Xenopus tropicalis: one gene and its partner. The protein of the gene in region 1 interacts with the protein of each later gene in a pairwise test. Links are inferred from orthologs where the notes say so. Each region holds a gene or a part of one and is shown in the gene's direction. Other genes may lie near its edges.

The links.
Region 2: the proteins of pcsk5 (region 1) and nufip2 interact in binary tests that used the Homo sapiens proteins (3 or more experiments, as listed by UniProt). The two-hybrid records come from large-scale screens. The link is inferred for Xenopus tropicalis from reciprocal best matches to the Homo sapiens genes PCSK5 and NUFIP2.

What each region holds. Positions count from the first base shown.
Region 1 is NC_030677.2:131,823,291-131,826,790, forward strand, and holds part of pcsk5 (proprotein convertase subtilisin/kexin type 5), read left to right. Parts: intron 1-1,031; coding exon 1,032-1,225; intron 1,226-3,500. UniProt on the Homo sapiens protein: Serine endoprotease that processes various proproteins by cleavage at paired basic amino acids, recognizing the RXXX[KR]R consensus motif. Likely functions in the constitutive and regulated secretory pathways.
Region 2 is NC_030678.2:33,013,272-33,017,334, forward strand, and holds the start of nufip2 (nuclear fragile X mental retardation-interacting protein 2), read left to right. Parts: upstream 1-1,263; 5' UTR 1,264-1,482; coding exon 1,483-1,696; intron 1,697-4,063. UniProt on the Homo sapiens protein: Binds RNA.

The sequences.
Region 1 (3,500 bases):
TTGCTTGGAGAGAGATATGAGCTGATCTAATTGTGCTAAACATCATCTAAATAATACTGTCCTAAATGGAATACATCCAGCCAAATAACATAAGGCTTCATCAAGAAGAGTACAGTCACAACCAGCAGTCCATCCTGTTCCACTCCTACATGAAAAATTCAGATATACACTAGACCGAATTCTGTTCAGAACTAAAGCTTTTACTGCTAAACAAAAAAAAAGTACTGTAAGATATAATTTAGGCTGTAATGTAATAATGTAAGGTTGGAAAAAGGTAATAATAAGCTATTCAATGCATTATGTGTTCTGGTACTTTAATAGGAACGTCACAAATTATTTTCTTGAATGAGGCGTGATTACTGTTTTTTCTCGAGGGCAGTATATAACAGTATCTAAAAAGAATGAGCATAGGTGTTATGTCCACTGCTGTAAAGGGTTGTAAAAAATAGTTATCAATCCTAATATTATGAACTTTAAAAAAATATGGTGCGTTTAGCGTACAGCTTGCTTTTATCTACCATCAGATCCATCAAGACATATTTATGAGAAGTTCACCAGAGGTTGCCAGCAGGAATCTATACCGCAGTCTTTTAAAGGGGCTGTATACCCTTATTTTCAGCATTAATTCAATGATAAGCCTTGGGTTGAACATACTCTTTGCCTTGTTTCACGTGAGAAATATGTATGTTTTTGTTATTTTTTTGAACTGAGCAGGGCGAAACCAGAAAATAAAAGTTGCATTCTGCTTGTTCTTATGAGCACAAAACAAATTAACTGTCCACTGAGAATGGTTTCATCTTGGATAATGCAATGGCACATATTAGCAGAGAAATACTTTATAAAGGTGTTTTAGTATGGGCTTTTTTACTGATATATTTTTAGAAAGATCTACTTTGTTCCAATGTATAGTACTAATCATTTTATTGTCATCTTTTTATTGCTAATCATGTAGTAGTTTGTGGTCCCCTACTACACTCTTAAAGGTAAAAATAGACATTTCTTAATAAAGTGTACATTGTCATTTCTCACAGAATTTGTGTATCAGACTGTCCCGCTGGTCACTACCTCGCAGACAAAAAAAGATGCAAAAAATGTTTCCTGCACTGTGAATCGTGTGTGGGGAGTCGCAGTGACCAATGCACAGCATGCAAACCTGGCTATTATTTAAATGAAGAAAGCAACAGCTGCATAATTAACTGCCCAGAAGGCTTCTACCTGAACGAAAGTAAGCTCATTTATAATGCATTCTTCTTTCACGGATGACAAATATTTCCACATGCAAAAACTGGCCATTTAAGTTTCAGAATTTGTTGAATTTGAGTAGGACAGAACAAACCATAGACTTTCAATGTTGAAGCTTCATTTAATACAGGTATAGGATCCATTATCCAGAAACCCGTTATCCAGAAAGCTCTGAATTACAGAAATCCTTTATCCCATAGACTCTATTTTAATCAAATAATTCAGATTTTTAAAATTGATTTCCTTTTTCTCTGCAATAATAAAACAGTACCTTGTATTTGATCCCAATTAAGATATAATTTATCCGTATTGGATGCAATACAATTCTCTTGGGTTTAATTAATATCTACCGTATATACTCGAGTATAAGCCGATCCGAATATAAGCCGAGGTACCTAATTTTACCTAAGAAAACTGGAAAAACGTATTGATTCGAGTATAAGCCTAGGGTGGGAAATGCAGCAGCTACTGCTAAGTTTCAATAATCAAAATAAATACCAATAAAATTTCATTAATTGAGGCATCAGTGGGGTATATGATTTTAAATATATATTTCAAAGCAAAACAGTAAACTAGCTCTGTAAGTGGAGAAGAGGGTCAACAAAAACAATAGGCACTGGAGGGTCTGGTTGCGGGTGGCCTAATTTGTACACAAAGGACAGAGGGTGCAAGTCTGGGGGGACCCATTGCACCCAACTCGAGTATAAGCCGAGGGTGACTTTTTCAGCGCATTTTGGGTGCTTAAAAACTAGGCTTATACTCGAGTATGATTTTTCAGTAGACTTAAGGTATGGAGATCCAAATTATGGAAAAAAACCCTTATCCGGAATACCCTTGGCCCCGAGCATTATGGATAATGGGTCTTATACCTGTAATAGGAATACCACCATCTTTAGTTTGGGCACAGAGACAAATAGAGATAAATATCATTTGTAAGATTTTAGCTGTGTTCACATTAGTAGGAAAGGGAAAATAAGGAGTCCTCAGGTGTCCTTCAATTCTAGTGGCAGCCGCTGACTCTTGACTTCTTGCCTACTTGATTTTTAAGCATGGTTTAGTGCACAGATGTGTTTAATAGATATCATTACTCCAAACGTGTACTTAAGGTTTACACTAACTCTGGTAGCTGGTACAGTTAATAAATAAGTGAGTTCAAACACAACTGCAGTGTAATATCTATGACATTTACCCAAAGTTAAATATAGTATGTGTGGAGCATTGTTTTTTTGTTTAATCCTGCAAAGTGCCTCTAGTAATTACTTTCAAATGCTAGCAGCTATGTTACTTCTGTATGTATGACACTGGAGCTGTTCCCAATAGCTGGCCACAAGCTAACAGCCCACTTGATATCTGTAGCTGGAATTGAAGAATGACCATTTTGTACTGATGGCATAATGGTTTTACTTATAAATTTTATTTGATTTTCAACAAAAGGTTGTAGCAAAAAATTTCCCTCACACTAGCTATGGTGTTTGTCACTGCACAGTGCACATGACATCAAAGTTGCAAAGGCTATTGCGTCAGTGCCAGACTGAAATAACTGCAATTGTAGTCACTCTACAGATCGATTGATTGTAACAAAGCCAGTGTGCACTATCCTGTTATCATAAAACCGTTTTCTGCCCATCTCTAAACTATGAGGGAAACTATGATCAGGCAGTATAATCCTACATGAGGTGCTACCTTGCATTAATAGTAGATAACTCACCTGTAGAAAAACACAGTTTCTCAGAAACTAGTTTCAGCCTTTCACTTTTTTTAAATGAAAATAATGTCACTTAGTGAGATATTTATTTAAAGGGGACCTGTCACCCTAAGAAAAAACTCCAAATTCTTTTCTATCATGCTTGTCAAGCAAAATAAACCTTATTTACACTATACAGATAGTATAAATCTTGTTGCCTTCAGTCTTGGAACTATTCAATCACAGCAAGCAGGCAGCTGCCATTTTGTGGACACTGTTAGTAAGGCAAACTTTGCATCACACCAAAATCTTGTTAAAGGACCAGATGCCCAGGCCCATGCACTGGCTACCTAATTAGGTGATGGGGAGGGAGTTGAAAAGTGTGAAGTGCAGTGACATCTAGGAAGTGCTGAATGGAAAGCTAAAGGTATTGTCTGCCCCGCCTCTATGCCTAAGGCATAGAGGGGGGGGTAGGCAATATATGATTGACAGCGGGGATTTTTAAATGTCTTTATAAAGGGTATGGATGTGTTATTTAAAAAAAGGAATTTGGGTTTCATGTTTAACTTGAAAA
Region 2 (4,063 bases), on another chromosome or scaffold:
GGTATAGGATACAGAACAATGAGGAAACTAATGAAACACTTTAATACAGCTATGTACCCCCTGTATGCCTAGTCATTCCTTTGTTGCACACAGCCTGGCTGCTCCAGCCCCTGTGGTGTTGTTCAGTACAGCTAATGTTTAATAATATCCCATTGCAATTGGTCCATGTTAGGGTAGGCTGAGCACCCCAGACTGCAAGCTCCCACTGTAGAGGCGCTGTATGAAGGTGCCGCCGCTGCCCGGGAGCAGGGAGAGCCATAGCGCTAGGGCCACACTGCCAGAGCCATAGCGCTAGGGCCACACTGCCAGAGCCACAGCCCTAGGGCCACAGTGCCCAGGACACATCGCTAGGGCCACAGCGTCAGGACCATAGCGCTAGGGCCACAGTGCCAGAGCCATAGCGTCAGGACCGTAGCGCTAGGGTCACAGTGCCAGGACCGTAGCGTTAGGGTCACAGTGCCAGGACCGCAGCGCTAGGGTCACAGTGCCAGGACCGTAGCGCTAGGGTCACAGTGCCAGGACCGTAGTGCTAGGGTCACAGTGCCAGGACCGTAGCGCTAGGGTCACAGTGCCAGGACCGTAGCGCTAGGGCCACAGTGCCAGAGCCATTGCGCCAGGACCATAGCGCTAGGGTCACAGTGCCAGGACTGTAGCGCTAGGGCCACAGTGCCAGAGCCATAGCGCTAAGGTCACAGTGTGAGGACCGTAGCGCTAGGGCCACAGTGCCAGAGCCATAGCGCTAGGGTCACAGTGCCAGGACCGTAGCGCTAAGGCCACAGTGCCAGAGCCATAGTGCCAGGACTGTAGCGCTAGGGCCACAGTGCCAGAGCCATAGCGCTAGGGCCACAGTGCCAGAGCCATAGCGCTAAGGTCACAGTGTGAGGACCGTAGCGCTAGGGCCACAGTGCCAGAGCCATAGCGCTAGGGTCACAGTGCCAGGACCATAGCGCTAGGGCCACAGTGCCAGGACTGTAGCGCTAGGGCCACAGTGCCAGAGCCATAGCGCCAGGACCATAGCGCTAGGGCCACAGTGCCAGAGCCATAGTGCCAGAGCCGTAGCGCTAGGGCCACAGTGCCAGAGTCATAGTGCCAGAGCCATAGCGCTAGGGCCACAGTGCCAGAGTCATAGTGCCAGAGCCATAGCGCTAGGGCCACAGTGCCAGAGCCATAGTGCTGACGTTGGAAGCCCAGCCCTGCCGTGAGGTTGCAGGAGACAAGTTGTGCGGCAGCAGCGGCAGGCAGGGAGGGAAGGAGGGGTGTCGGCCAGGAAGGAGGAAGGGGAGGTGGCATTGAGGGGCATGTGGGAGGCGACAAGAGGCACTTGGAGAGGCCTGATTGCTGGATAGAGACAGTCAATCGTTTCTAGAAAGTCCCTAAGCCAACCGGCTTGCCCTAGTGCGGGAGGCAGCGCATCTGCACACTCACATCCACCGAGGGGCTCTGTGCTCTGCATCCAGCGCAGGGGGAGCCCACTCACTTTCAATGGAGGAGCAGCCTGGCCAACAGCAGCAGCACCACTACCACCATCACCATCCTCACCACCTCCACTCTCCGTCTTCTCACAGCCATTACTACTATTACACAAACAGCCAGCAGCATGGAGCCGAAGGCAGCAGCGCCAAATGCCAGCCCAAGCCGCTGAAACATGAGCAGAAACACGCCCTACAGCACCAGGAAACGCACCAGAAGAAAACAGGTCGGCATCTGACCCGGGGGTGGGGGCAGCCATGGGGCAAAGGGTAGTGTTGGTAAGGGGCAGTAAAGGGCACATTTGCCGGATGTATGGGGGGTGCCCAGTATACCGGGGGGCAGCAGAGCTGAATGGTTAGGTGGGGCTTGCACCCTAGCCGGCTGATGGCACAATCACAGCGTCGCCCGGGGGGCCGCCGGGAATACAGTGATTTAGCTGGGGGTTGGTATGGAGCCATCGTGTCTGGTTGTGTAAGGGGGACCCGGGAGGGGACACAGGGGAGCGGGCAGGGACTGGGCTCCCGGTATCTCAGGGCCCCTGGGGGAGAAGGTGCTTGTGTAACAGTTGGCTGTTGTTACTCTGTATATTAGGAATGTATCCCCTGCAGTCCCTTGGGAGTTGTAGTTCAGCAGCAGCTGGAGGGTGGCGGGCTGCATGGCAGCAGTGCCCAGGGCCCACGGATTCCTAACTCCGGCTGTTCCCATTGATCAGCTGACTGGGCAGCACAATGTGCTAAGGGCCCTGGGGCCGCTACCCAGCAGCTAGAGGGCGCCCTGCATGGGGCAACAGTAGCAGCGATTCCTACGCTTATTCCTATTATAAATGCTTCTGTGCCCTGGGGTTGTGGGTACCCGGCATTCGCTGCCAGTGGGAAGCCCGAGTGCTACGGGTAATGCTTCCCGGCATGGCTGCTTCCAGTTCCCCCTTATTGGCAAAACTCGGGGCCGGCCGAGCCCGGGGAATCCAGGCTGGAGGCCCACTGCCTTGACCTTGCTAGTAAGCCTGCCGGCTCCATGTTGTGCCCCCAGCCGCTGCGGACATGTGACTTCCCGGCAGGGTTGGCCCGTTACACCACCGCTTCCCTCCCCCGCCTTTCATTTATGTTTCCCGTTGTCTCTACTCCGCCACGTTCATTCCCCTCCCATTCCAGCCAGTCAGCTGCTCGGTGCGGCCTGGTACAGCCCTAGAGCCGGGAGCTCGCCTGAGGCAGCGGCACAGGAGGCTTCTAGAAGGCGCTGGAAGGGCTCGGCTGACGTGTGTGTGTCTGATATAGAGACTTACAATAAAGGATACAGGCTCCCGGCTGTGGCATTGGCTCTAATACACCGGGCGTTATAGCGCTGTTGGCTGGTGTTCCTAGGGGGCTACTAGCCACCGCCTCTAATAAGGGGTGATTGGCGAATTTATAGAATATAATGTACAGAGAGAGACAATTTACACTGGGGCCCATCAAGGGGAAGTATATAACACTTTGTACATATTTTACTATACATATCAGGGATGCCCAGTGGGGGTAATACAACTGAAAACCATAGCATTTTTCCTAAAATGGTGGCTAACCAACCTTCTGCCCTCTCTAACTCTAGTTCAGCAATATATTCAGAGTCACATTTCTTAAGCTTTCTTACTGTTTCCCTCAGACTGGGGCCTGAGCCCTGAGCCCTGGCCAACCCATGGCCACTAGATGTTATTGTTGGACTTTACATGCCAGATTCCCCCTGGAAGGTAAAGGCTGCAGGGGTCATTTTGGGAGTTGTAGTTCATTTACATCTGAAGGCCAATAGGGTTTCTAACTCAAGCTCTAAGCACTTGTTTTTGGAGGTTCTAGGAGTTGTTCCATATCAACTGTGGTACAAGCTACATTTTTTACCTGTAGGCAAGTTGGGTAGAGGTTTCTATATCTGTAATCTTGTTATTGGCATAGGGCCCCTGACCAAATTTTGGTCCACATATTTAAATTTAACCTGTTTGATTTCCTACCAGGGATTTACAGTAGGAGAGTTCTCTCAACTGTGACCCACCATCAGGGCCTTTCCTGGCTCCTGTTGTTTCTTCTGTGATAGGGTGTCCATACACATGCCATTTGGCCCCTAGGCAGATACTGTATGAGTGGCCATAAACACAACAACCACCACCGATTAGAAAGAGGTGCTGTTTTGGCTAACATTGTACGTTAGGAGATACGTTTCATACAATTCTGATTGACAGGCTGAATTGTATCCATTATAAAAAGATCTTAGTTGCCATTGTCTGGCCAACATTCATGCACCAATATTGTTTTGAAACAATTTATCAGTACCTGCAAGGACAGCCTTAGAGGGTATCAGTTGTAATATCCTAGCAGTGCAGCAGCCGTATAGTGATTGGTTGATTTCAGAGCAAGTGGTGACCCATGTGTGCTATGTAGGTGCAAGCCGAGCAGGTAATCTAATAAAAGGCACAAAGTCAGTGGTCTATTAATCCATAACAACCACCCAACAGGTAACATTTATTGGTCAGCTATTTGAAAGATTCATATGGTTGCTATGGGTTACTAGACCTGGGCAAATGTTGCACCATTAATCACATTAACTCTAAGTTGTTTAAATACCA